Nothobranchius furzeri: one gene and its partners. The protein of the gene in region 2 purifies or fractionates together with the protein of the main gene of each other region. This does not show direct contact. Links are inferred from orthologs where the notes say so. Each region holds a gene or a part of one and is shown on either strand. Other genes may lie near its edges.

Region 1 (10,060 bases), on a different chromosome or scaffold from region 2:
CTGTTTCTAAATGCTCTTATTTTGAAAGGGCATTTGTTAAAGCGGTTGTTTTCTACAAGATGCAGCTCTTTTTTTCATGAGTAACAGAAAATCAAACAAAGTGCGAGTACTGGTTTCCAGCTGAACGGATGACTTTCCCCTGGATCATTCGTTCCACTCAGTTTCTGCTCGCTCTCGTCTCTGTTCTGCTTCCAGCCTGGGTTTGGACTTCACCCAGAACCCCACCATGCTGACGGGCTCCTGGAACGAGTACTCCAACTTTCCAGAGAATTACCTCAAAGGCTGCAAATGGTAACCTCACTGGTGTTTAATTACTAAATCACACGAGTAAAAGTTCATATTTGTATAAAATCGGGTTTATTTTGGTTGTAGCTGCATTATCCCTGAGCTTTGTTCTCTGCTTGTGTCATCCCCCCCTCCTCTTCCATCATCAGGGCTCCTGATGGCTCCTGTATCCTAACGAACAGCGCAGACAACGTCCTCCGTGTTTACAACCTCCCGCCAGAGATCTACAGCTACAGCTGGGACCTCCTCCCTGAGATGGTGAGCTGGGTTTCTGGGTAGAGAGCTTTAACTTCTGCAGAAGCCTGTTGAACACCTGCTGTTTTACATCAGGTGTGCTGGAGCAAAGTCGCATCTAACACATGGAGAGCAGCAGCTGTCGAGGGCTAAGATTGGTCAAACCCTTGAGGAAATGTGTGGCAGAAAGCAGTTCTTACATCTCAGTAGAAACACGGAGGCTGTGCTTTGGTAGTTTAGGATCGCTGAGCAGGAATAATTGACATGTAATCCATTTTCTTCCATCCCAGAGACTTCAGATCCTGTATTATAAGGGTGGAAAACGTATTTCTCTACCAGCCCTTTTGGGTTTTACTCTTATTAAAAATCTGTTATGTTGTCTTTAAACTGCTGCTTGAAAAATTTACAACCCTTCATCTCTTTTAAGGATTTGGTTTCCTGGCAAGGACGGGATGTAAATCATCAGCTTTTCCTGCCCAGAAAATGATTTATGACGTGTCAGCTGATGGTTATTTAGGGGAAAAGATCCAATAATACGAAACCTTAAATGGATCATTAACTCCACATAAAACACCAAAAAACTCTGGACTCTTGGTTCTGTGATTGTATTAAAGACGTTTCTAACTGGTCTCCAGTTTGACCAGTCGAGTTCTGACTGTGGTGCGTTTAAGGAAGCAGATTTCCATAATGTGCTTCTCTGTGAGTTACCTATGAGCAACTTAGCTTATCTGATTATTAGGCATGTTCCGATCCGATCATGTGATTGGACCTGATTTCCGAGCACGTTTTTTAATGGATCGGAATCGGGTTGGAAAAATTGGATTTAACCAAGTAAAAAAAACAAACATTCATCCATCCGTCCATCCATTTTCTTATGATTATCCGGAGTCGGGTCGCAGGGGCAGTAGCCTAAGTCAAGAGGCCTAGACCTCCCTCTTCCCAGCCATTTAGTCCAGCTCCTCCGGGGGAATCCCAAGGCGCAAGGAGCAGCGGGTCTACTCCGAGCCCCTCCCGGATGACCGAGCTTCTCGCCCTATCTCTAAAGGAGAGATATAACAAACATCACTTTTTAAATTCATCCCAAGAAAGAGATTTTCAATTAAAAAAAAACAATGAATAGTTTCAATTCAACAAGTTCCTTTTACATCAGTATTTTTGTTCCACAGACAACAATGCTGTAAAGTCCCACAATTTAAGGTAGCCCAGGAATTCATGCTCCATAACATGTAGCAGTTAGCTAACACAGAGCATACTCGTCGTCTCAAGAGACAAAAAATGTCTGTAATTTGGATGATAACACTGACAGCAAAGGGAGTGTAATAGACACGTGTAATATGTGAAAACTGGGCATTTAGCGTGGTGGAAAAGGTAGTGCTGCCACCTTAAAAAACCGAACCCTTCTCAGTTTGCTGCAACAAACACGAATAAAAGATATGTTAAGAAGAAAAAATAGTCTACGGACTGCAAAAAATGGGACGATATTTATCACATTGGATGAGTGTTTGTGGTTTTGCACTCTTGTTGAGTCACGGTATGATCTGCTTTCTCTTAACTTTACATCACTTCAGCACTACAGGTGTTTTGTAGAAATGGGTGACCCTACTGCTGCCGTCACCGTGCCGTCGCTCAAAACAGCCACACTGAGTAAACAATTTGAAATATGAGCAACAAGGCTACTTTTACATATATTCTTAATATTAGCAAGTTTCTTAATAATGTACTTCATAAACAAGGGATAATTTGTGGCAGATAAACATAAGAAATGACATAAATAAAGAAAAGCATTAATGATTAAAAAAGAAAAAACTTGGAGAACGCTAGTGTGTTCTCCATTTTTCTAAATGCATTTCTAAAGTATCAGACTGGGACTCGGTATCAGCAGATTCTTAAAATCAAATGACTCTGAATCAGATTGGGAGCAAAAACCATGATCATGACGTCTCTACTGATTGTCCTTCATTTATTGAGTTTGAGTTGATTTTTGAATCTATATTAAGGTTTTTATGCTGTTGTCGACAAGCTGTTGTTGATTTTTTTCCTCCAAACTGAGCGTTAAACATTTGTAGTAGGACTTTAATAACAGTTAATAATGAAATAGTGCAATGTTATTTTTTTTCTTCATTAGAATAATGTGTAAATAGGAAAACAACTTCATCCCGGACAAGCCCCCACTTCTTACCCTGGCTGATCAGCAATGACAAAAACTGGGATAAATGCAGGATTGAAGGAAAAAACATCTTCTTCACAATGAAGATATGTCAAAAAATGAAAAATAATACTTTGTGACTCTAGCGCTGGCTTTCCGCCATACTCGTAAGCAGTGTGTGACTGTTGGTGTGCTTTGGACACATCTCTGTTGAGTTTTGAGTTGCTTTTATGCCCCAGGTCTATTTTCTTTATGCTATGCTTTCACCCGAGTCAAGATCAGTAGTTCAGATTGGGCCAGACAGGAAGTGAAATACAGAGCAGTGTAGCATCTGACAGATTTCAAAATAAAAGTCACAAGCACATTTCCAGTTGCTTTACTAGTTAAAAAAAAACATCTCATTACCTGTACTTCTGTAGCTGAGGTAAAAGAACAGAAAATGAACCAGACCTTTTGGATACTTGCTGCCATCTTTATGCTCACTGGAACTAAACAGCTGGAATCACACGCAACTCTCCAGACATTTGTGATCTCATAGGATCAGCTGCACGAAACACTTTTGCTGCGACTAAGCATCAGAAACGTTTCTGGTAGGAATGGACACGCTACTGATGTTGTGGTTAAAACGTGTCTTAACAATACACACCCAGTGGAAAACCCGGGTGTGTTCTGGTGCCTCAGACCAGCCCATCTGTGACAAGCTGCTGAAACATAGAAGTAGAATAATAGATCAGCCTCACACACTGACTGTTTACCAGTGTGCTGGGCTTTAGGATGGTTGTTTTCTGAAGCTAAGAAGAAACACATCTGTTTCCTTCAAAGTGAGCTTTAGATAAATAATGTGTCTGTGATGCCCTCAGAACTGAGATTTTATTTGTTTAGCACATTTGAATAAAACAACTGAAGAGCAGCAAAGAACCTTAGAGTCGAGGCAGACGAGAACAGTGCAGCATAAAATAGAAACAACAAAAGCAGAATAAAATATACGTACAGAACCCATGCTCTTTCAGTCAGAACCCAGAGAGAGGTGTAACCTAAACTTTAAACATGTAGGACTGCTTTACTTTTTAAAGCTCAGAACCTTTGTTGTAATTTTCCTTACAAATAAATAAACAGCAACACCAGCCTTCTGATTTAGGTGTTTTTAATATTTAAATGCGTTTTCTGAGATTACATCCAAAGATGATTCAGCACTCGCTGCTCCTGTGACCCTATGTTCCTGTTCTTGTCTCCCTCCTGTTCCAGAGTCCGGTTCTGAGGATGGCTGAAGGAGACACCGTCTACGACTACTGCTGGTACCCCAAGATGAGCTCGCTGGAGCCGGACACGTGTTTGTGAGTGAAGTCCAGAACTTTTCTTTAATATTATTAGTTTCTCTGACCTCATTTCATCTTTGCTTATGTCATAAAAGTTGATTTTTGTGGGAAAGCGTATCTGATTGGTCCGGGAGACACCCAAACATCCACTCAGGTCTCTGATCTGAGCGTCTTTTTGTTGTAATGGTGACATCAGTGGTTCTGGTTCAGCATCACCACCCGTCGCTGGAGATCATATGTGGTAAAAGGACCGCTCTAATGAGCCGGGGTCAAGCTGCCAGTAGCTTTCAGCTCGTTTCCTCCTCGTCCCTCGGCTCCCGCCGTGTCTCAGTAACAACCTCCATCCACCCTGCGGCGGTTTCCTCTGATCAAACTCCGGCTCTGATGCCGCTCCACTGTGGCAACCCCAACCAGGGAGTGGGGGGCAGAGCTGGAGCCGGGAGATGGAGAGATGAAAGCTCAGTAAACAGGATCAACAGACGTCTCATGTGGATGGAGTGGAGAGGTGTTGATGCCAGTCATGCTGAGGCGCGGAGCGGCCAGCAGGAGGCGACATGCTCATCCTCAGATCATCTCATACAGGTGGTGGGATGTTGCAAGGGTTTATTAAAGACATCAAAAACCACGTCAGCTTCTCTCATCAGCATCCCTCCACCCTCCTTGAGCTCAGCCGAAGCTTCGTGTTTCCCCCTGTAGAGCGGGAATATTGGTCTCTGTTACGGCTCGGTTAAGTCGCCCTGACTTCCAGGAAGCGCTCCAAGCTAGCAGCAGTCTAGCATTATAATTGGACTTTTCCCAGCTCTGGAATAAAGCCTCGGCATGGTGGGGGGGGGGGGGGGGGGGGCATGATTTTGGCATAACTGAACAGCAGGAGCTAATTTCCTTTGTCTGTTTAAGCCACACCGATGTTTAGTGTCGGGTGCTCAGTAACCGGACTTAAACAGGCTCAGACTCCAGCCCTGATTCATAAGGACCAGCTCTCAGCTGGTGGGTTTGTTTTGATGCCCTGCTACGCTCAGGCAGGTGGGGAACATTTATCTGTCAGAAGTTGTTTCAAAAGGGATGCTGACATTTTGTTTTACCAGCTCCTTCTGCTTTATTCCTCCCCAGTCTGGCCAGCAGTAGCCGTGACAACCCCGTGCACGTGTGGGACGCCTTCTACGGCGACGTGAGAGCCAGCTTCCGACCCTACAACCATCTGGATGAGCTGACGGCAGCGCACTCGCTCTGCTTCTCGCCAGACGGAGCTCAGCTCTACTGCGGATTTGAGAAAATGGTGCGGGTGTTTTACACGGAGCGTCCCGGGAGAGACTGCGAGGAGCGGCCCACCGTAGGTCAGTCTCCTGGGTTTTAGTCTAAACTGTGTAAACGGGCTGTCACGTACACAGCCGATGCCATTTAATGCTCTCATGTGTGTAATTACTTTAATATTATTTCCAGTAAAGTGCAAGTGACTTACAGGCAAATAAAGTTCACGGAGAACAAAACTTCTGACAGATAAAGGCTGAGTTACGGAGTCAGCTGTCTGGTCTTTTCAGTGAGCTGCCGCGGCCCGACAGCCCACCGTCTCGTCTCCTTGAAACAAATCAACACAACGACATTTTATTATGTTTCTCAGACAAAAACTAAGGAGACGTGTGTTGGCTGTGATGAATTCCTTCTGTCTGTCACACATTTCTAACCGTTTCTGTTTGCTCAAAGTGTTTTTAGTTGTTCTGACATTAACAGAGCTGCTCTGCGTGCACCGACTGTTACTTCTTTTTGTTATTGGAGTTCCTACGCCTGAATCAAGAATAATAACTTTTGAAAATGTCACCAAGTGAACTTTTATTTTTCTTCTTAAAGGTTGCTTTTTGTTCTCTTGAGTTTTGTCATTATTTATAGCATCAATGATAAAAGAAAGAAGTGACGGAAGTACAAAACGTGTAGTTTATGTAAAACATATTCAGCGTGATGCGAAACTTTACTGATTACATCGTAGCTGCAGACGTCCGAACTTCACCCGCCTTCAGATTCCTTTTTTACGTGGAAACTTCTCCAGCAGGCTCAGTGTTTATCAGGAGAGAGAGGACGGTAATAACACAACAGAAGTAAGTTAGCTAGCATTCAGAGAGTGACTTTTAAATGTAAACAACTTGTTTCTGAAAGATCATCAACCATTTTAAATCATCACGCTAACATGCTAGCATTTATGCTAACTTACTTTCCCTCCTACTGGTTGAAAGCGGAATTACAACTATCGTAAACAACACTGCCACAGCCTGCTGTAGCTAGCGCTAACAACAAGCTAACGCTTACATGAACCAGCTGATACTAAATAAGCCACAAAGTAAAAATATCCACACCAAATTGTAATAATTACACATAAACTACATACCAAATATAATCTTATCAATCAGATGGACCCCTAGGTCCCCTCAGGTTTAGGTTGTGGAGTCCGAGCAGAACAAAACAGTGGATTTAAACTTATAAACGTGTAATACATGGTGTCAGGAGGGATGTGAGAGCGGCTGAAGCAGCTCGTTTCAGTGCAGCTGAACAGAAAGTTGTGTAAATCATTAATCGTGTCTCTGTTGTCAGTGAAGAAACGAGGCCAGAGCGGCATCATCTCCTGCTTCAGCTTCAGCCCGTGTCTGTCCGTTTACGCCTGTGGCTCCTACTCCCGCTGCGCCGGGATCTACTCCTGTCAGGACGGCACCCTGCTGGCTCTACTGCCCACCCACCACCACGGAGGCCTCACCCATCTCCTCTTCTCCCCCGACGGAAACTACTTGTACACCGGCGGGCGCAAGGTCACGGGTCTCGGAAGCATCGGGGCACGAGCCTGTGTCCCAGAATCTGTGTAACAAACAGCTGTCCTTTTGTGTTTTTATGTAGGATCCAGAGATTCTGTGTTGGGACCTGAGAGAGCCGGGGAAAGTTGTGTTTTCCCTGAAGAGGAACGTGGCCACCAACCAACGAATCTACTTTGATCTGGACCGGTGAGTGGACTTGTGCTCTGTTTGTGGAAGGTAGGATGTTACAGGCTAGTTCTAGAGAGTTGCACTGTTCTCTTTGTCTGGTTTGTGATGCCAACAGGTTAGCAGTTACACACACACACACACACGCACACACACACACACACACACACACACTCCTCAGGTGTATGAAAAGGACAGAGACACCTGTTTTGGGGATTCGTTGGGTGTCACAGGCCACGGATTGAAGGAAGCAGGAAGGATGCCTGCTCCCGGAGGCATCACTTAACCCTTTAAGTGCCAAAATCGCAGAATTGCGACAAGCAGCAATGTTGGATTTAAAGCCACAGCAGCAGAATTGAGCCCTCGTGCAGTTAATACGTTACGCTGCGGGGTGGCAGACACCTGTAACTTCAATCCAAGCAGCATTTGCGGGTGTGTTACTATTGAAACTTTTCGAGTATTTAGCGCTTGAACCCCGCCCACCAGTCGCAGAGTCGCGGAGGTTGTAAGAGCGAGCGAGTGGTAGAGGAAAAAACAATGCTGAGAGGAATGTTCAGTGCTGACGAAGCTCTTCGTCTAGTACTGGCAGATTCGGATGATCTGCGGTCTTATAGCGAGACGAAAAGCGTGGCTTCAGAGCGCAGCAACAGGAAGTCTGTCAGCGATGACGCGGTTACACAAGCAGCCCATCCAGCCCTTACCTTGTCCGATGTCCCGCACCACCTCCGTGGGGAGGGATGTGGTGGTGGTGATCGGGCCGGTGAAAACTACACTGGTGATCGATTCAGCCCCAGGGGTGTAAACCGCGGGAATTGCAGCAGGAGGGGGAGGAACCGCGGGAAAAAAAAAAATCACTGCTAGCAGGGGGGTGGCCCAACACAGCCTCAGTGACGATAATAATGATGATGGCTGGGTTAGTTTGGGAGAAGAGGAACAGTATTCCAAGTGGATCAGGCATTTTGATGAGCCAGTTGGATAATGTGGAGACAGGGATCTGTCAAATTCAGAACATGTTGATTTTCTGTCAGTTTTTTTGGATGAGGAATTCTGGACCCTCATCACAACTGAAACTAACCGATATGCTCACCGGTATTTAGAGAGGGAGGAACTGAAATCTAGCTCCAGATATAATGACTGGTACGATGTAACTGTCCCAGAAATTAAAGCGTTCATTGACATTCAGTTCTGCATGGGGCTTGTGGAAAAGCATGAGATTGTGGACTATATATATATATATATATATATATATATATATATATATATATAATTATATATAATTATAAACAAAATAAACCAAAGAAGGGATGAGTGAAATGTGTTCATGACGCTGAAGCACCAAAATCAGTGTTCTTGATTGATATGCAGTAAACATAACAAAATACCAATAAAGTAATAAATATTATATATATACATACATAGTTATATATGTCTACATAGGAATATGTCTATATGTATCATAAACAATAACAACACTAAGAAAATAAGACAAAAACATACAAAAAAAATCTGCAAATGTGATGCAATCCAATATGGCTGCCACCTGATGACGTCACAATATGCATATTATGTGAGTGAATTAGTTCCTATCACAGAATTTGGCTCATACAGAAGATTTTTCTAATTTACAATATTCCTCTATCTCTAACCTGATTTAAGCTACAAGCTCTTTAAATAGTGATATAAAAAATTCATATTTTACTGAAAAAAACTAAAGGGTTAAATCAAGTTTACCATCTATGGCACCACTTGTCCCTATTAGCCAAAATCAGATAGGTGTGTGTGTGTGTGTGTGTGTGTGTGTGTGTGTGTGCGTGTGTGTGTGTGACCTCGTGGGGCAGGCATGTCCAAAGTGTGGCTCGGGGGCTGTTTACGGCCCTTAGAGTGATTCCATGTGCCTCTAACTGCATCTTTAGAAAGTGGATTTCTATCTTTCCAGCAAGCTGCTGGTGGGAGATCCAGTTTTTGACATGTTAAGGTGCAGTGTGTAAGAAAATGATCCAAAAACAGAAACATTTCTGCTGGAAGGAAGGTTGTCCTGGATCATCTTTCTTTCTCAGCCAGCTGGGAAGGTTGTCAGTTTTCCCCCCTTTCAAAATAAAGGGTGTGTGTGTGTCAGGTCTGGCAGGTACCTCCTCAGTGGGGACACAGAAGGAGTGGTGTCCGTCTGGGACAGTCGGACGGCGCCCCCTGATGGTAACGAAGAGCTGCTGCAGCCCGAGCTGAGATTCCATGCCCACTGGGACTGCACCAACGGCGTCAGGTAGAACCACTTTACACACACCTGGAGAGATTTCCGAGCATTCTCTGCAACAAAACTCAAGTCTTTAACTGGTTTTCTTTGACACAACCAGAATTGTCTTCTCCTCAGTGTTCATCCCTTCATGCCCCTGGTGGCGACGTCCAGCGGTCAGCGTCAGTTCCCGTGGCCCGGTGACAGCGATGGCGACTCTGCCTCAGAAGCCGAGGGAGACGGAGCTGTGACGCCGCAGCAGGAGAGCCGGCAAGACAACGCTCTGACCCTGTGGTGGGCTGGACCACTGGGGCCTCCTGCTGAGGAGAACCAGAACGCAGCGGTCGTGGAGGCCTGAAACCGTTCCGCCAGAGCACCATCCCCTTTAGTTTACTTTGAGTTTAGCATTAGAGCTTCAGTGGGTCATTTCTAAACAGAGTTCTCCCATTTTGGCTCTGATAATGGGAGTGGGGCCCAGTTTAGTTTTAGATCCATCCCGGAGAAAACTACGAGAAGCTCCCTCATAAGTCTAGTTTACACATTTGCTTTGGTTGATTAATCTGCTGCCTGAACCGTCTGAATCTGCCGTAAACGCTTTTGTGTGTGTGTTGTGTATCCAGTGTGTGTGTGTGTGTGTGTTGGCTGTAACGCTGCCCTGGAGACTCCGCTCTGCTAAAATAACAAGAAGTGCCATTTGTTCCCCAGCTTTGCTTGTGTAAACACAGGCTCTCCCGTTTTTTTTACCGGGTCTTTTTAAAGCATTCGCGCCCACAGATGTATATTTTTGTAAAGCCAGGATGAGTTAGTGAATGTTTCCTGTGAAAGCAGCGAGCTTAAACGCTGCTACGCGCTGTGTGTGTTGTTTTTTCTACTGTTTGTATTGTGCGAC
Region 2 (9,406 bases):
CATGGTGTTGCACAAGGTTCTGTGCTGGGGCCTCTGCTCTTCCTCCTCTATCTGCTTCCTCTTCAGCACATCCTGAGCTCCTTCAAAGGAATCTCCTACCATCTTTATGCAGATGACATCCAACTGTACATCTCCTTTAAGCCCCATGAGATGTCTAAGCTGCAGCTGTTACACACCTGCTTAGACTCTATCAAAACCTGGATGGCTGGGAGCTTTCTTCAGCTGAATGAAGATAAGACTGAGATCCTCATCTGTGCCCCAGACAAGCTGGTTCCCAAAGTCAGAGACTCTCTTGGTCAGCTTGCTTCTCACACCAAACCTTCCATCGGGAATCTTGGCGTGACCTTTGACCCAGCTCTCACCCTGGATTCTCATGTCAGTTCTCTTGTTCGCTCTTCCTTCTTCCATCTCAGGAACTTTGCTAAGCTGAGTCCCATTCTGTCCCGCTCTGAACTTGAGACAGTTATCCACACCTTCATCTCCTCACGCTTAGACTACTGTAACTCTCTTTTCACGTGTCTGAGCAGAACCTCCATGAACCGTCTACAGGTGGTTCAGAATGCCTGTGCTCGGCTTCTGACCAAGTCCTCCAAACACACCCACATCACCCCGCTAATCCTCCAGCTTCACTGGCTGCCAGTCAACTTCAGGGTTCATTTCAAGATCCTGGTTCTGGTCTGTAGGGCCTTACATGGACAAGCACCATCTTACATTGGTGATCTTCTTAGTCTCTACACCCCCAGCAGGTCCCTGAGTTCCAGTGATCAAAGCCTACTGCTTGTGCAGCACCAGGCTAAAGACCAAAGGTGACAGATCATTTGCTGCGGTGGCCCCCAGACTCTCGAACTCTCTCCCTCTGAGCCTGAGATCAGTGGACTCAGTGGTCTCCTTTAAAAGGCAGCTGAAGACTCACCTGTTCAGGCTGGTTTTGTATGACCTTCTTCACCACTCTCTCGTTATTCTGCTCTCCCCACCTATTCCACCTTCCTCAGGATCCACTGATTTCCCTCTTTCCCATTCACTCTCTCGTCCTTAACATTTTGTTTTTTAATCACAATTGTCTATTTTTTGCTCATTTTAAATGTATTTTTAACCATTTTCTAAATTCATTTTTATATTTTTACATTTCTTGTTTTTGTGAAGCGCCTCGTGATTTTTATCTTGAGAGGCGCTATAGAAATGATATTTTCTTCTTCTTCTACCTGCACTTCTCAGTTGAACAGAGACGCTGAGACCCCCAGGTTCCTGCAGGATGGCTGGAGATAACAGCAGACAGGTGGAAGGACAAGGGGAACAATTACTCATCACTGAGTGAAGATAAGTCACATTCAGGCTGTCTTGAGGCTGATGAGAACCAGATTAGGTGGCACCTATTCACTTAACAGCTCTCAGTCAGCACTTCCTCTCAAATCCAGCCTGTTGGACAAACACCGACCAGTCTAAAGAACTGATGCCAATTTAAACATACACACAAAGCTGAGATCTTTTAGTAGGAGAAAGGATAGTAGCATCCATCCATCCGTTTTCAGCTGCTTGTCCGGAGTGGGGTTGCGGGGGCAGTAGCCTAAGCAGAGAAGCCCAGAAGATAGTAACTGATTTCCGAATAACTCAAAGATGAAAAGATTCAGCATCTTCCATTGAGCCCACTCATCCCTCTGTCACATCTAGCCACAGGTAACACAAGAATGTGTTTCTCTTCTTTAGAAAGTTAAAAACACACTCACCCTGGTTCATGCGCAACTCACACTCCCTCCAGGCAAACACCAAATCACATTGCTAGACGCCTAAGCTCCACAGGCAGCCATCGCTCTCACGCAAAAAGAAAAGCATCCTTCACAAATCTGACCAGGTGACTTCCACCTGCTCCCGTATCAAAGTAAGTCCGCTGGGAGAAAATCAGAACTGGGTCATGTTAGATCTGCATAAACAATGTTTCTGTTGTATCTCTCCACAGCACACACAAATGCTCTGTTTCTAATTACCAAAGCTGGCAAAGAACATTTTCTTTTCCATGGATGGATTCCCTCCAAAATTAAAAACACAAGGCAAGGCACGCTCCCAAAACTTCATGAGAAAATTCCCCCGGTTGTCTCCGGGATGGAATCGTAACGTTCCCTCTGCACGCCTGCAGAGTTGCTTTCAAAGTGAATGTGTTGGTGCATCGCCCTGCCAGGTCCAACCCTCTCCACAGCTTTTTTCCTCCTTCTCTTCCCACTTTTCATTCCTTTCCCCGTTTAAGTCGAAACACAGCTGTGTTTATCACTAAAAAACACTAGATCTCTAGATTTCCCCAGAAGCACATTTTACAGAATGTAAGTTTGACTAAATTTGGTTTGTCCTGGATGCTGCTTCCACATGAACCCTTTAGCCACAAACAGCTGAAAGCAGGCAGAGCGGTGAATTTAAGGTCTGGGTTAACCATCTGGCTTTCTGAGGCCGGATGTTGGTGTTGGACACGTTGTCAAGGCCCGGGTAATTGGTTCAGTTTGCTGCTTTTGCCATCAATAAAACAGCCAAAGCAAATGGAAATGTCTCAGATTTTGCTGTCATTCATCGTCAAACACCATCACCAAAAATGAAATCTGGACCAGACCCTCCGGCTGAAAGGTGCATGAATTCAGGTAAACTGAATTAACCACATCTGTTGGGACACCTACGTATAAACTATTGCTGTCAGATGTGCTGTGTGGACACGATGAAGCTTTCACACATCTGTCGTAGACTTTTCATGTGGAGTAAGAGTATGGAAGAAGACATGGGGAAGAATGAAGCACGTGCAGATCTCACAGGAAGCAGTCAACCTCTGGTGGTAAAACCAGTGAACAACATCCCCACCTTCACCTCAGCAAACATAACACTCCTCATGTCTTCATACACAGCTTCCAGATTTTTCTTTTAATGTTTGAAAGTGATGATTTGGACACGCAGCAGCAGCTCAGGAGGTAGAGTGGGATGTCCAGTAATCAGAAGGTTGTAGGTTTGACCCTTGCTGTCAGAGAATGCTGCTGTTGTGTCCACGGGCAAGACGACTAACCCACCTTGTCTGGTGGTGGTCGGAGGAACCAGTGTACAACAGGCCTCGCCTCTGCCAGTGTTCCCTAGGGCAGCTGTAGCTACACCGGATCTCCATCACCACCAGCGTGAATGTGCGTGCATGGGTGAATGACTGTGTGTGTGTGTGTGTGTGTGTGTGTGGGGGGGGTTGGGGTAAAAGGGCTATACAAATACAGGCAATTTACTACTTTGCAAGTACTATTATTTTTTCTGCAGGGATTCTGAAGTTAGTTTTTATCGGACTGCTCATCACCCCTCAGTCCAGTAAGTTGAGTCAGTGGTACAGGGACAAGAACTGAAAAACGTGTAAAAGAAACCACAGAGGAAGCCATGAATGTTAACACTATCTGCTCGCGTGTTTTTCTCCATGTGCAATAAGGAAACACCTGGAGCTGCTTGAATAGACAGCCGTTAGTACATTTCATTTGAGACTTCACCACCACACAAACACGTTTCCAGGTGACAGATGTTGTCTTGCAGAACTTTTAATGAAACCGTTTTGTTGTGAACAGGCGTTTCACATGATGAAAACATACAGCAGCCCTGAGAACCTGAGTGCAATGCATAACAAATGTTTAGTTGCCAGTGTGTGCAGCTAGCATTGGATCTGGTCAGTTGCAGAAGAGTTGCTACTTTAAATAACATTCAAGGATGAAAAATAAACTCAGGATGAAGATTTTCAAGTGACATTTCAGGCTAACTGGGGAAATTTAGCCTAATCTTGTTTCTTAGCAAAGGATCTAGCCTGAAAGAAATTACCTTAACACAAGCCTTCAATAACCCAAACAAAATATGCTTTGAGCGACATTGATAAACTAGAAAAGTTGCCCTTTCGGTCGGTGGTTGGCCCTTAAAAGGGCCTTTGGGTTCATTGTGGTTAGCCGTGAAGCTAATACTCCTGAGACTGAGAGGACGCCTTCTTTCCCGCCTTGCCGGAGCTGGGTGCTGCCTGGCCGGCCTTCTTGGGCAGGAGGACGGCCTGGATGTTAGGCAACACGCCTCCCTGAGCGATGGTCACGCCACCGAGCAGTTTGTTCAGCTCCTCGTCGTTACGGACAGCCAGCTGAAGGTGGCGAGGAATGATTCGGGTCTTCTTGTTGTCCCGAGCGGCGTTGCCAGCCAGCTCCAGGATCTCGGCGGTGAGATACTCGAGGACCGCAGCCAGGTAAACAGGAGCTCCGGCGCCCACTCTCTCAGCATAGTTTCCCTTGCGGAGGAGACGGTGAACACGGCCCACAGGGAACTGCAGACCGGCGCGGGAGCTGCGGGTCTTCGCCTTGGCGCGGGCCTTAGCACCGGTTTTACCTCTTCCAGACATTGTTGAAGATCTCTTCCACGAATATGATTTCAATGCAGAAAATCGCAAAGTAGAAAGAAAAAAGGCTCGCCGAGCCATATATAAGCCTCCACGTTAGTCCCGCCCCAAACTACTATTGGATGCTAGAGAGAGAAGCTCTCATTTGTTTGGCTTTAGGAGATCAAACGTTCCAGGAAGCCAGTAACTATTGGTTTGGCTGCTCTGGCTCTACACCAATCATCGAGGAGTCTGACCAATAGACAAAGGTAATTGGTTGTTTATTTGTTCACCCAGTTTCACGCGGGTCACGTGTCAGAAGGAAGACCAATAGACGGTCTTCCCTCCAGCTTTAAACGTTTTGGCGCGTTACCGAACGAAAAGTGAACATTTCAAGCGATTTAATGAGTATTGATACAGTAAAGTATTGAATAATGTTGTCAGGGTTTTTGACCAAGATCGAAATGTGGTGACACATGTATCACAATTATACATGAGGACAATTTATTAAAATGCGCAAAATGTGCTTGAAGTAAGCTTACACTGCACAAACTGTGTGAGGGAGGGCCAGCAAGACATGGAAAATTCCACCATCCTCCCCCACTGAGACGAAGCTAATCCTAGGCAGCTCAGCAAATAACCATTTTACTGGTAAAAATATATACCTTTTACAAAAACAAGACCATATTAACTAAGTGCACAATCAACATTAGGGTTGAAAAATAATTTATTTGCAATAAATTACATTTTCAAAATATAACTGGGGCCTCACATCTTGAATTTTACAGCCACTTTTTCAAATTACATTCACATATCACTACATGTATATGTATGTGTGCTTTCAGGCAGGAGAGTGGTTTTGATCTGTTCTGCATTTTTAATTAGTTTGACAGTATTGTCCATACAGTACTGGCTTAATGTTTGGCATGTCCATTTGATAATATTTAATCAGATTAAATATTTATTTAAAAACACAGTAATTGAATAATTGATTTTGGTTGTTATGAGGTCCCAAAATTATTGCAGTTATTTCAAATGAGGTTTTTATAAGAGAAAAAAAATCATATGTACAGTTTTACAATTGGTTCTGATTGCTGCAGCAATTATCATTTTGTGTGTCTAGTTGTTAATATTTTTTTTCCAGCCCTGAGAGCAGTTCCACGTATAAAAAACTCTTAAACTTGGTTCTAATTGCCTGAGCTGAACCCTGACAGTCCAAGTGGATTGAATTAAATATGTTTATGACAATAATTCTCCTAAATACAACATTTTGCTGTTTGTGTAATATAAATTAATCAAATGTGTGACTGTTTGTTGTAAAATATGTTTTCTTAGTGAAGCACTGAGCTGCTGCAACTCAGCTATACCTGATCATTGTAAATCGTTTACCGACATGTTTATTTTTAAAGTTGATAGTCTTTCTTTATTTTTATTTTTTATTTTTTACAGATTAAGCTTATTGCCCAGCACGAGATGCCTGCTGACTGAACTATCAAAATCAAACCATAGTTATGATATTCCACAGAAAATAATTATCACACAAAATTACGATAAATACACCATCTTCTCTGCTTTTTATGCGATTAAACATGAATTTTAAAAGTAATTTTTAAGTAATCACAAATAAACAACACATTTTAACAGAGAAAGTTATATTAACTTACTTAAAGGTCTTCAAAATTAAATTTGCATAGAAAAGAATGCCAACGTCACTATTTTACAGTGCAATGCAGCGAGGATGACTTGTTTTGGGTTGATGAAATAAATAATATGGTTTATAAATCACACAGAATAATAAATTATCATTTTACACCCAACAAAATTTTACATGTGCTGTAAAAAAACAAATAAAGCATCAGTCCAAAGTGCATTTACATCATTAGTCTGAGTATATCCACCACCGATTCTGATCAAACCCTCTAGTGTGTGTTAGGAGTGTTTCATCGTAGTGACTTCCTTCTCACCAAGCAGCACGATTTTGTCTCCTCAAACAAACAAAAAGAGTTCATCATCACATTTGAGATCCAGCATTGCTGTCACAGGACTTCTGTGTTGAAGGTGCAATTCCTTGTTTCTAGACAGGATCCCTCCCAGCGGCATCCTTAGAAGTGTGGGTGACAGCCCACAGTGTGTGTTCAGCGATTCCAGCAGCTCCTTTTGAGCTACAACGACCTTCGTGATATCGATCAGTTCTCCACTGAACTTGCTCCTCCGTTCGTAGAAGCAGCTTTGCCTTTTGACTTGCCAGACGAGCGTAAGGAGAAGCGTTTGATGAGACGCCGCGAGAAGCTGCCAGACTTTTTACGGATGCTGCTTGCAGCTGGAGCAGCGAAGTTGTTGCCAATGTTGGAGATGTCCTCGTGGGACTGGCTGAGGCAAGGCTCCTTCTCTCGATGCTTTCTACGAAACAAAAGCTTCGAGCCGCTCTGGAGAAAGCCCACTGCAGAAAGCAGGTACATCACTTTATCTACTGATTATATGACATCACCATTTATCCAATGTAAAGCAATCATTGTGAAAACCACCAGGGGGCAGCATCAGCACAGTGATCCTTAGAAGTTATGTAACGCTGTTCAGTTTGTAGTGACACTTTGAAATTATGCTTTATTGACAAAAAACAATATGCAAAATAAATCTATTTAAATTAATACATTTAGCAAACATCTGCATGGAGTTTTTAATTCCTGCTCTATGTCAACAATGAGCAAACATTATTACCTTTATGATCCTTCAGGCTGCGGGTTTCCAAGGCACCAGCAGAACCAGTATCAGACTCTACATCGTCCACAGACGGACGCTCCGACACCTCAGAGGGAGTGGTTTCATCCGGGTCCTGGTGATGACCTCCCCTGTAATGGTTGCCGTGCATGGCTGCATCCATGGATGCTGCGTAGCCGCTTGACAACGCACAGTGATCCTCAGTGAGTGGAACCTGATATGCAACAAACATCAAATCATTTATTATGTATGAAGACAGGAAGCTTGTTTAAGGTCTGCTCTCATGATAATCAGTTTCTTTAGTTTTACTAATAAAAGCAGACGCTTCCAGTGGCTTCTGTGTCAAGGGCACCAACTTCACACACACACACACAGACACACACGGGGTTTCTACAAATTTTCTTCCAACAATCAGGTCAGTAGACTCGTTCTACTAGTGTAGTAGGGCGCTGTGATGCGAGACTAAATTTAGATCACACTCCTCTCGCCTGCGTCCATGTGAGTATTTTATATCCTTATCAGACTTCACTTCCAACATCTCAAAGGGCTACAAAGAATCATAACGGCTCATCGCTAAAAGGTAGAGATGTTTCATGTGTAATTCTGGAAGGAACAGCGTCCTCTGACCTTTGACACTCCGGATATGATTAGTGTGCTCCGTTTTGTTGGGGTCTTCCTTGCTGTTTTGGACGCCGACTCTGTCAGCTGCCGAATGGCCGTCTCCGCGACGGGATCCAGGCCGTTAGAGAGCCGACTGCTCTCTGTGCAGCAAAAACACAAATATGGAAATCAGGGCTGCTTGTTCGATCCAGTTGCTCAAAAACACGATCAAGCTGAGCTTTCTGACACTTCACAACCTTTAAAAAAAGCATATTTTATTGTTTTTTTGTATTCTGTGGGTTTGGGTAGAGCAGCACTCGCTCAGAGGGAATTAAGGGTGCCTAATAGTGCTTTCCTCTCCACTCAGGTTACACGGCTGCTCGCCGCTTATCCTGCTTTGCATCTGTTTTGTGAAACAATGTCGGGTTTTTAGTCTGGACTCACTACTCGGGTTGGGGCTGCCGCTGCCGTCCCGGTCATCAGACACCACGGTGGCTTTGCTTTCATTCACCTCCACTTTGGATGAAGAAGACAAGGGCGAGTCACCTGAAACGGCATGAACATTTGACATCACTCTAACACTTAATACAACAAGGGTCCTTTTATTAACGTTACTTAGTGCATTATTAACAGGTGTGTACACAAGTGGTCCGCAGGTGCGCATGCGCTGTCAAAATAAACAATGTGCACTTGAAAAAAAGCGGCAGCACGCATTTGCGCACCAAAGATTTTGTGGAGGAAGAAAGACATTTCTGGAGCATTTTAAAAATGTCCTTTAAGTAATTATTTTGGTGTTCCTCCGCCTCCAAAAAAACGTCAGACTGAGTCGGAACCGCAAAAGAAAAGAGTATTTGCGGAGAAGAGGCTGCAGGAGGTCGGCTGGCTTCAAACAAACAATGAACGCACAGAGACGTGATGCAGATTATGCCGTGAAAATCCCACCCTGGCAGACAAAAACGGCGCCTTTTACATAGGCACTGAAAACTTCAATCATCCAGCGTTTGATAAACATACTAACAGCAGACAACATCAGAAAGTTGTCCTCTGCTGTGTGTGAACTGGAGGAAGCCAGTCGGGATAGTGAGGAGGAGGATGATGAGGATGATGAGAGTCTGTAGAAATAAAAACGGCATTTATGCCATTTAAAAAACTTCAGTGCTCTGAAATAGGAATTTTGTTAAATGCTTTAAAATTAATTTTATTTGATTTTTGTTATCACAAAAGCAGCTGTTTGCACTTTGTGTTCTACATTCAGACAATTCAGTCATGTTATTTTAAAATGAGAAGTTTTTAATATGTACCTGTTGTACTTAATGTTTTTAGTCAAAATTAAAATATGTTGCATCATCAACGCGTTACTCTGTTTTGTTTCTATTGTGAGTTGGGTTAATTATTAAGTGCATTTAAAAATGTGAGGACCAAGCAACAACCATAGGTTCTCCCCTGAGTACCAACCCAAAAATATTATGTGCACCCCTGATTATTAAGCATTATTGTTAACTATTAAGTGTCCTTAAGGTTAGAACAAAGGGCCTTGGGTGTCTGCTTAGTAATGCATTATATAATATTAACATTATTATTATTAAGCAGTTGTTAATACTTAATTAAATAGTTTATTAAAGCTCAATAATGCACTAATTAATGTTAATAAAGGAAACCTTATTGTAAAGTGTTACCTTTGTATCACCCCGCCAAAATAAAATACCTAATCGTGTAGATTTATTCACCTGGGCTGTGGTC
Region 3 (10,060 bases), on a different chromosome or scaffold from region 2:
CTAAAACCAGGGCAAATATCGGCGTGGCCTACACTTTGATGCTGCGGCAGTGTTATTTACAACAAAGGTAAATGGCCTGTATTTGTATAGCACCTTCTTAGGGTTCTACAACCCCCCAAGGTGCTTAAAACACAATCAGTCATTCACCCATTCACACACACATCCACACGCTGGTGGAGATGAGCTACGATGTAGCCACAGCTGCCCTGGGGTGCACTGATTCAGGCGAGGCCTGCTGAACACTGGTGCCACCGGTCCCTCCGACTACCACTAGCAGGCCAGATGGGTTAAGCATCTTGCCCAAGGACACAGATGTAATTCTGCTTTCCAGTAACCAGTAGAGGGATAAGTGAGAAACATTTTACCATTACTGTAATCCAGGCTCCTCCTGTAGCCGTTTTTAATATTACCTTAAAACTTCACAGGATCTTTCATGGATGTAAATTCAAAGAGTCGGAGTACCCGGCCCGGAGGGTTACCGGGGTCCCACCCTGGAGCCAGGCCTGGGGTTGGGGCCCGTGAGCGAGCGCCTGGTGGCCGGGCTTTCGCCCATGGGGCCCGGCCGGGCCCAGCCCGAACCGGATACATGGGCTCATCCAACTGTGGACCCACCACCCGCAGGAGGAACATGAAGGGTCCGGTGCAATGTGGATCGGGTGGCAGACCGAGGCGGGAGCCTTGGCGGTCCGATCCCCGGACAAGAAAACTGGTTTTTGGGACATGGAACGTCACCTCGCTGGCGGGAAAGGAGCAGGAGCTTGTGGCAGAGGTTGAGCGGTACCGGCTAGATATAGTCGGACTCACCTCGACACATTGCATTGGCTCTGGAACCCAAGTCCTTGAGGGGGGTTGGACACTCTCCTTTGCTGGAGTTGCTCCGGGTGAGAGGCGGAGGGCTGGGGTTGGCTTTTTGTTAGCCCAAAGACTCTCTGCTTGTGTGTTGGGGTTTACCCCGGGGGACGAGAGGGTAGCTTCCCTGCGCCTTCGGGTCGGGGAACGGGTCCTGACTGTTGTTTGTGCTTATGGGACAAATATCAGTTCAGAGTACCCACCCTTTTTGGAGTCCCTGGGACGAGTGCTAGATAGTGCTCCATCAGGGGACTCCATTGTCCTGCTGGGGGACTTCAATGCTCACGTGGGCAATGACAGCTTGACCTGGAGGGGTGTGATTGGGAGGAACGGCCCGCCTGATCTGAACTCGAGTGGTGTTTCGTTATTGGACTTCTGTGCAAGCAGCAGTTTGGCCATAACAAACACCATGTTCGAACATAAGGATGCCCACCGGTACACTTGGTACCAGGGCAGCCTAGGTCACAGGTCGATGATAGACTTTGTAGTCGTATCATCTGACCTGCGGCCGTATGTTTTGGACACCCGAGTGAAGAGAGGAGCGGAGCTGTCAACTGATCACCACCTGGTGGTGAGTTGGATCAGATGGCAGGGGAAGATGCCACATAGACCTGGCAGAACCAAACGCATAGTGAGGGTCTGCTGGGAACGCCTGGCAGAAGAACCTGTCAAGACGGTCTTCAACTCCCACCTCCGGCAGAGCTTTGACCACGTCCCGAGAGCAGTGGGGGACATTGACTCCAAGTGGGCCTTGTTCCACTCTAAGATTGTTGAGGCGGCTGTTGCTAGCTGTGGTCGTAAGGTGGCCGGTGCCAGTCGTGGTGGCAACCCCCGTACCCGCTGGTGGACACCAGAGGTTCGGGGAGCCGTCAGGCTGAAGAAGGAGGCCTACAGGGCGTGGCTGGTCTGTGGGTCTCCGGAGGCAGCAGACAGGTACCGGATAGCCAAGCGGGGTGCAGCAGTGGCAGTTGCCGGGGCAAAATCTCGGGCGTGGGAGGAGTTTGGTGAGGCCATGGAGAAAAACTGTCTATCGGCTCCAAAGAAGTTCTGGCAAACTGTCCGGCGCCTCAGGAGAGGAAGGCAGCAACTCGCTCACACTGTTTACAGTGGGGATGGGGAGCTGCTGGCGTCAACTGGGGCTATAGTAGGATGGTGGAAGGAATACTTTGAGGAGCTCCTCAATCCCACCTATGCGCATTCCAAGGAGGAACCAGAGCTGGGAGGCCTGGGGATGGACTGTCCAATCTCAGGGGCAGAAGTTGCTGAGGTAGTCAAACAACTACACAGCGGCGGAGCCCCGGGGGCGGACGAGGTTCGTCCTGGGTATCTCAAGGCTATGGATGTTGTAGGGCTGTCATGGTTGACACGTCTCTACAACACTGCGTGGTCATCGGGGGCAGTTCCTGTGGAGTGGCAGACCGGGGTGGTGGTCCCCATCTTTAAGAAGGGTGACCTGAGGGTGTGTTCCAACTATAGGGGGATCACACTCCTCAGCCTCCCTGGAAAGGTCTACTCCAAGGTACTGGAGAGGAGGGTCCGATCGATAGTTGAATCTCAGATAGAGGAGGAGCAATGTGGTTTTCGTCCTGGCCGTGGAACTGTGGACCAGCTCTATACCCTTGCAAGGGTGATGGAGGGAGAATAGGAGTTTGCCCAACCAATCCACATGTGTTTTGTGGATTTGGAGAAGGCTTATGACCGTGTCCCCAGGGGCACCCTGTGGGGGACGCTCCAGGATTATGGGGTGGGTGGCTTTCTGTTAAGGGCCATTCAGTCCCTTTACCAGAGGAGCGTGAGTTTGGTCCGCATAGCCGGTAGTAAGTCGGACCTGTTCCCGGTGAGGGTTGGACTCCACCAGGGCTGCCCTTTGTCACCGGTTCTGTTCATCACTTTTATGGACAGAATTTCTAGGCGCAGCCGTGGTGTGGAGTGTGTCGAGTTTGGTGGCAGGAGAATCTCGTCTCTGCTTTTTGCGGATGATGTGGTCCTCCTAGCTTCATCCAGCTCTGACCTTCAGCTCTTGCTGGGTAGGTTCGCGGCCGAGTGTGAAGCGGCTGGGATGAGGATCAGCACCTCCAAATCTGAGACCATGGTTCTCGACCGGAAAAGGGTGGCTTGCCAACTCCGCGTCAGGGGAGAGGTCCTACCTCAAGTGGAGGAGTTTAAGTATCTCGGGGTCTTGTTCACGAGTGAGGGTAGGAGGGATCGGGAGATCGACAGGCGGATTGGTTCGGCGTCTGCAGTGATGCGGACGCTGAACCGATCTGTCGTGGTGAAGAGGGAGCTGAGCCAGAAAGCCAGGCTCTCAATTTACCGGTCGATCTACGTCCCAATCCTCACCTATGGTCATGAGCTTTGGGTAATGACCGAAAGAACGAGATCGTGGATACAAGCGGACAAAATGAGTTTCCTCCGTAGGGTGGCCGGGCTCAGCCTTAGAGATAGGGTGAGGAGCTTGGGCATTCGGGAGGGACTCGGAGTAGAACCGCTGCTCCTCCAGATCGAAAGGAGTCAGTTGAGGTGGTTTGGGCATCTGGTCAGGATGCCTCCTGGACGCCTCCCTGGGGGGGGTTTTCGGGCATGTCCTGCTGGCAGGAGGCCCCCGGGTCGACCCAGGACACGTTGGAGAGGTTACATCTCCAATCTGGTCCGGGAACGCCTTGGGATTCTGCCGGAGGAGCTGGTGGACAAGGCCGGGGAGAGGACGGTCTGGAGCTCCCTAGCTGGGATGCTGCCCCCGCGACCCGGACGGATAAGCGGAGGAAGACGACGACCTTAAAACTGAAAACGAACACCTTTTAAAAGAAAGCTTTCCTCTATACCTTGTAGCCTCTGTGAGAATCCATCTTCCTCCTCTGACGCCGGCTTCTCATTGGTTGGACCTTGTGCCCCTCTTCCTCTTCTTCGAGCTCTGGCAGCGTCACCTCCTCAAAGCTGCCACTGGCTCCGTTTCCTGACACAAGGCCATTGCCCTCACCACCTTCTCCTTCCTCCAGCCAGTGGGCTTCTTCAAACTGCCCGGGACACGCTGAGGTTGGGCGGAGATCATCAAAAAATACCCAGAATTCTGCTTGTAAGTGGGTGTGGCCTTTTAGGAGGGTCCCCATCTGGGTTTTCAGCTGAAGGCAGAGACAGCTTCAAGTTAACACCAATAAGCAAATCATGAGTTTCGGCAAGTTGGACTAAAAGTGGATGAATCAGCCAGACCTCCTGGATGCTGGTAGCGTTCATGTCGGGTCCAGTTTGTAGAGCTTTGATGATCTTCTGGTAATGTGATGGATTGTCTCCAAAACTGATCTCCAACTGTCGCAGAAAACGCCGGCTGCGTTCAAATGCCTGCTGCTCCTCAAACTGCACCGGAAATGTTCAAAAATCAGAAGGTTGTCCGACACGCTGAAGGACATGAGGTGAGATTACAAACACCTGCAGACCCATAAAACTCTGTGTGCTCCCTCTGCTCACCAGTCCACACTGCAGCGCCTGCTCGGGATGCAGGAAGGCTGCAAAGTCTCTGAGGAGATCCGTGTGACTTCCCAAGATGCAGCGCAGCTTTCTGAAGAGTTGAGTCACTTCTTGTCCTTCTCCCACCTGCTCAAACCTATTCAGCAGATACACAAACTCCTCCACCTGCTCGGGTGTATCCTGCAACACCTCACGGACCTGTCAACAACAACAACAACAAAAAAATCAATCCAGCTGGAGAAAATCTGCTCCTGCCTCCATCTGCTCAGTGAAATCGGACACAGAATGGCACGAACACGTGCAGGTTCTGGTGTTTTCGTCTCACCCGGTTCAGGTAACTCTGAGCAAACGCCATATCTTTACTCTCTCTGAGCGGATCATTCTCCAGAATGTTCTCGTCGTACAGCAGCAGCAGTTTGGCTGCGTCTTTACTGAAACGCTCCTGACGCGTCCTTGTCAGACCACGAAAAGGACGGCTGCGACCTGCACAGAGGAAGTCGAGAGAATGGTTTTGCTACAAGCTACAGAAGAAAATAAAAGGAAATCATCGGACACAGGCTGACCTCGTCCGCGTCCTGGACACCTTCGTCCTCTGGGAGTCCCTTCTCCAGATGGCGTCTCCTCGTCCAAGCCTGCCTTGAAGCTCTGCCCATCTCCCGCATCCTCACCTTTCACCCCATCCTCCTCCTCGTCCTCCTCCTCCTGCGAGGTTGGAGACTGGTCGTCCTCAGAGTCCCCGTCCACACACAGCCGCCGCTCCGCTGCCAGCCACGTCAGCTGCTTCATGGTCTCCTGCGGGACGTAGGACGCCACTGACTGAGGTCAGAAAAACTCAATCTGAATGACATCATCGCTCACCTGACAGCTTCCTGCTTACCTGTAACTCTGGAACTGACAGCACCGACTCCTCCGATGCTGATGACATTGCCTCTTCCTCATCCTCATCTTGTGTGAGGTCATCAAAGTCCTCCTCCTCCTCTTCTTCTTCCTCTTCTTCATCCTCCTCATCCTCTTCACCCTGCTGGTCCTTGTCTCCATCCTCTTCTCTCTCTCCTCCCTCCTCCCTTCCTCCATCCTCTTCACTCTGCTCCTCCTCACCTTCCCCACCTGTTTCCTCTTCTTCATGGCCTCCCTTTTCCTCCATCTTTTCTCCCTCTCCACCCTCCTTGCCTCCCCCAGTTCCCCCGTTGAAGCTGACAGCCATTACGCTGGTCCCCTCCACGCAATGCTGCTCCTGTTCCTCCATTTGCTGCTCCTCCTCTTTGTCTCCTGTGCAGGATGAAAGTGGACTCAGTGATGATGCAGAGCTCTCCTCCCCTTCAACATTCGCCTCCTTTCCAGATATGGAGCGTGGCTGCTCCACATTGACTGTTCTGTGGAGCGCACATCCTGGTGCATCCTGGGACACGGTGGTAGAACAGGGTGCGGGTGGTGTCCACATCATTTGCACGAGGACAAAACTTTGCTCCTCCTTAGCAGAAGAACAAGGGGCATTGGGAGATGTCATGGAGCTGGACATGGACGTGAGAGGCAGGAGCAGAGGAACGGCGTTCTTCTGGCCAACAGGAAGGTTGGCAGTCTGATGTTCTGGGCCTGGAAGCACAGCGACCAATGGGAAACTTCCACAGACTGGAGACAGGGCCACTGGTAAGGCTTCTGACACAGCAGGGGGCTCCGGAATTACAGTGCCTCCAAGAGACGGGTGGGACAAGTGGCTGATTGGCTCCACCTGTTGGTCCACTGGGGCTTTGGCGAGGGGAAGCAGAGATGCATTGTGGGCCAGGGTGAAAAGGCGCTTGGGAGTGGCCCGAGGCTTTTGGGACTTATTGATATAATAGGGGTGAAGTCTGAGGGAACAGCCCGGGGGCAGGGAGGGGGGGTAAGAGCCACCCAGTCGAGTCTTCTGGATGATCAGCTGACTGTTCTGCAGGTGAGAGCCACAAAGGTGACGTGTTAGTGACTTTTGACTCGGAGTTAGTTCACAGGGAACTGACAGGTTACCCAGATTAGTCACCAGGTGACAGATGGGTCCTTTCACACATGATGGATGAGTTAGTTAGTAATAATTAGTTAGTAAGGGGACACATTAGTTTCTCATAATAACTGATAAACCAGGTGAATAAAATCCTATTTAACAGGGAATGCAAACACAAAAACTGTCTAAATATAGTTAAAACTAAAATAATATAAAAACAGAAAAACTTGTAATTTAGCCTAAAATCTGTTTATAAAGGAAAAGCTAAAAAGGACGCTGATAGGTTAGTAAACCGATAAGTTAGGGTTGGTTAACCAGTTGGTTTGAGGGAGGTCCACAGACCTTGAGCCAGTTCGGCATGTTAGAAGTATTTCTGTCCACAGGGGGGCGCTGGTCTTCTGGGTGAACTCTGCTGCAGGCAAGTGGAAGTGAAGGGACAACTCCCTGTGTCATGAACATCTGGAGACAGAAGCGGGAACGTTAGCACTATTAAATCCAGACGTGATGATGTCACTCACGATGACGTCACCTTAATAACGCTCTCCCGCGGTGCTCTTGAACCACTCATCTCTCGAATATGTTTCCTGATGTTCCACCGACTTTTACAGAGAAGGTAGGAGCTAATCAGCTGATCTGACTGGATCGTCCCTTCAAAATGCTTCAAACCGAGCACAATCAGCCTGCAGCAAAGCATGATGGGAGGATGAAGGTTAGTGCAGAACAGCAGCCAAACTACCTCAGAAAAGACTGTGAATCTTCTCTGTGAGAGATTCCAGTCAGTTTATTCACAGCTTTCATAGCTCCATGCTGCGTAGAGGATGATTTTACGTCACAAAGTTAGAATATCATTTTTCCCCCTTTCCTTTACAGCAAGAAAAACATCTAGATCAGGGTTTCTCAACCTTTTTCAGCTAAACGCCCCCTAAGTTATGCTGAAATGCCTTACTGCCCACCAATGCAGAGAAACGGAAAGTTTTTTTGATACAAAAATCATGATTACGAAAAAAAAACTAATAACAATTCAGCCTAGACTTTGAAACTGTTTAATACAAATATGTCATAAAAAAAAGGGATCATAAAAAAATTGCTTAAAGCGGAGTCATCATCGCTGTGGGTAGATTAGTGAGACCCTTGTCCCTGGTGATTTGCTGCAAGTGTTTTTGTGGATGGATTGAGAGATGTTAACTTGAGCCGTAGTGCACCTGAGGCTATCAGATTTAGCCGGTTTCGGTATTTTGATTGCATGTACAGTACCTGGCTGAATCCCTGCTCAACAAGATAAGAAGTGGGAAAAGCTATCTATCTAGATTCTAGATAGAAGTTTTGGCCCCTAATGCCCAGCCCTATCGACACCTCTTCTATACCTCACTTCATCCTTACTGATCTCAGCTACTTCCTGATCTTCTAGCTCAACCCTGAATTTCTGCTTTTCTTCCAGCTCACATCCCATCTCTAGTCTGCATCAACAAGCATGCTCTCAACTCTCAGATACACTGCATTAAATCGTTGATCTGAATTGGAACCTTTTGTAAAGTGATCTAAACTTAGTACGGCTGTCAAATTAACATGTTAGCGCAGAATAATCCATCATCATGATTAATCCGAGTCAAAATTTTGTACTAATTAAACCAACTGCTGCACAGAATGACTCAAAATCCCAGAAGGGTTTCTATTTTCACATTTTGGACAATTTGTCCAACCAGAGTTAACAGTTGATCTGGTAGTGACGGGCTGCAGAACAAATCAACTCAATATTGAAGATGCTAAACAGCACATTGTCCCTCTTGATGGGAAACTTGGGCGAATAAAAAAAAAAGACAGAACAGTCAACAGATCAAGTCTCATGCACATTGTGCAGGAGGGAATTTTCTTTTCACCAAAGCACTTCCAGCTTAAAACACCACATTAACAGGAAACAATCGTTAGTCAGGGATGCTGCGAGCAAACAGACCTCAGTAAGTTTACCTCGGACAAACTGACTAAATCGCCAAGTGGATTTCAACAGACTTTTTGTTCAAGATGTTCAATAAACATGTTAGTCCCTTTATTCTCGAGTCTGTTTGCTCATGCAAAATGACATGAGATTAATAGACAAAAAAGAATGATTTTTAATTGTGATTAATCTGAATGAATCCATAACAAGCCCGTGATTAATCGAATTAAATGTTTTAACTGTTTGCCAGTCCTAAACTAAAGATTTGTGAAATTATCTAAAATGTACTTTTTTAACAACCATTTAAGCAGCTGCCACGCAAAAACATGACCTGAAAACCTTTAGAATTACATCTGATCTCAGCTGTAATAAAACACTTATCGGACCAACTGTGTGTTTCTGTACCCATCTTCTCCTGCTGTGTAAAAACTCCTGTGACGCTTGCTGTGGAGTGCAGGGTCGAGGCTGCAGACAGGAAGTAGTTCTGGGTACAGGAAGATGGATCGTGTGGCAAAAAGCCAGGCAGTGTCAGCAGGCAGCAGTGGGAAGGCATGACCTGAACACAACCAGAACCAAAAGTTGCAGATGCACACAGTGGACTGAAATACACACTAATATGTACATTTCATAGAAAAAAATTGAAACAAAGGGGCCTTCTTACTGCTGGTGGGCAGTGTCATCATGGGCAGCAAGCGTCTGAAAGCTGCAGGAACACAAAGAGCACGAGGAGACTCCTCTTTCCGCTCCACCTCCTGCAGGAGATCCAGTGCTCTCTGCAGGTTACACACTTTAAAACTGCTAGGGAGACGGATCTCCTCCCGGCAACTGGCAAACTGTTGGAGCTCCTCCTGGGAAAACAGAATGAAGTTTGTGCTGATTTCAGACTGATCCCTGAAGAACAAACATGAAATCAGGCGTGTGAAAATGGTTCAGGATTGCAGCAAGCTCACACCTGAATGATGTCGCTTTGCAGAAACCTTTAGGGAAAGGTAGGGCTGTTTACTCACCAGGTAACGTTTGGTCAGACTGGCCTCATGGTTCAGGGCGCCGATGGGACGACTCAGCAGGTGAACCTGAGTCAGCAGCTGTACATGCTGAAAGGTACAGTAACATTTAGTCTATGCTTTCACCTGAAGGTCCAGGGGGATGAACATTAGATTCCTTATAGTCAGTTAGGTGCAGACTTCCACTCTGGGATTACATGTTCTACTAGGGAGGTTCTGAGCTCATTGATCCCCAAAGAACAATGAAAACAGCTCCCTATTAGGTTTGGTAGAGACGTTTCTTTTGATATGATGCTTATTTTATTTTCTTCTCTGCATTGTCACTGGAAACCAGAACCAATCAGAATTGCACGGTTTCATACGATCAAAGAGGGAAACTGATTCTGGAGGATTAGAGTTCCCCACAGCTGGGTGAGCTTCGCCATCATGTATTTAGAAGTACTGTTTATTCACCTGCATGAGGGCATGGGAGAGGGTGAGGTAGATCATGTACCTGCTGCACCTGCTGCTGCAGCTGCAGTTTCTGGGTGCGGTCCAGACGCAGGCCGGGGATGCTCTGACCTGGTAGCGCCAACACAGAGGTAACAGCGTTGGCCGCTGGGCTTCGGAGGTGGATGGTGGTGTCCTGCAGGGCCCTCCTCTGCTGCAGAGCTTCATATTGTTTTCTGACTGTCTGTCTTCGTTCTGTTAGCAGTCCGGCTAAGGGAGCCTCAAACCTACAGAAGGAAAGGGTGCCGATTGGTTGTAATTAAATCAAACATTGCCAAACAATCGACATTTAAAATCTGGATAGTTGGTGGAAGGGAAGAAGCCATTGCTAACAACAAAGCAAACATC

Evidence for each region.
Region 1: the proteins of h2ax (region 2) and wrap53 purify together in Homo sapiens (affinity purification with western blotting; 3 studies listed by BioGRID). This does not show direct contact. The link is inferred for Nothobranchius furzeri from reciprocal best matches to the Homo sapiens genes H2AX and WRAP53.
Region 3: the proteins of h2ax (region 2) and gon4lb purify together in Homo sapiens (affinity purification with mass spectrometry; 3 studies listed by BioGRID and IntAct, counting the BioPlex papers as one, with this or other methods). This does not show direct contact. The link is inferred for Nothobranchius furzeri from reciprocal best matches to the Homo sapiens genes H2AX and GON4L.

What each region holds. Positions count from the first base shown.
Region 1 is NC_091742.1:83,807,157-83,817,216, reverse strand, and holds part of wrap53 (telomerase Cajal body protein 1), read left to right. Parts: intron 1-195; coding exon 196-291; intron 292-434; coding exon 435-543; intron 544-3,910; coding exon 3,911-3,999; intron 4,000-5,091; coding exon 5,092-5,315; intron 5,316-6,561; coding exon 6,562-6,773; intron 6,774-6,858; coding exon 6,859-6,962; intron 6,963-9,057; coding exon 9,058-9,201; intron 9,202-9,309; coding exon 9,310-9,529; 3' UTR 9,530-10,060. UniProt on the Homo sapiens protein: RNA chaperone that plays a key role in telomere maintenance and RNA localization to Cajal bodies. Specifically recognizes and binds the Cajal body box (CAB box) present in both small Cajal body RNAs (scaRNAs) and telomerase RNA template component (TERC).
Region 2 is NC_091750.1:47,424,039-47,433,444, reverse strand, and holds h2ax (histone H2AX), read right to left. Parts: upstream 4,474-9,406; 5' UTR 4,451-4,473; coding exon 3,944-4,450; 3' UTR 3,522-3,943; downstream 1-3,521. Other genes in the region: phospholipid transfer protein C2CD2L, read right to left, coding at 6,535-6,788, 7,067-7,280, 7,694-7,827, 8,111-8,212, 9,394-9,406. UniProt on the Homo sapiens protein: Variant histone H2A which replaces conventional H2A in a subset of nucleosomes. Nucleosomes wrap and compact DNA into chromatin, limiting DNA accessibility to the cellular machineries which require DNA as a template.
Region 3 is NC_091745.1:66,365,156-66,375,215, reverse strand, and holds part of gon4lb (GON-4-like protein), read right to left. Parts: intron 9,940-10,060; coding exon 9,717-9,939; intron 9,314-9,716; coding exon 9,227-9,313; intron 9,068-9,226; coding exon 8,881-9,067; intron 8,776-8,880; coding exon 8,625-8,775; intron 6,967-8,624; coding exon 6,816-6,966; intron 6,746-6,815; coding exon 6,629-6,745; intron 6,236-6,628; coding exon 5,189-6,235; intron 5,104-5,188; coding exon 4,875-5,103; intron 4,795-4,874; coding exon 4,637-4,794; intron 4,510-4,636; coding exon 4,312-4,509; intron 4,201-4,311; coding exon 4,057-4,200; intron 3,969-4,056; coding exon 3,672-3,968; intron 1-3,671. UniProt on the Homo sapiens protein: Has transcriptional repressor activity, probably as part of a complex with YY1, SIN3A and HDAC1. Required for B cell lymphopoiesis.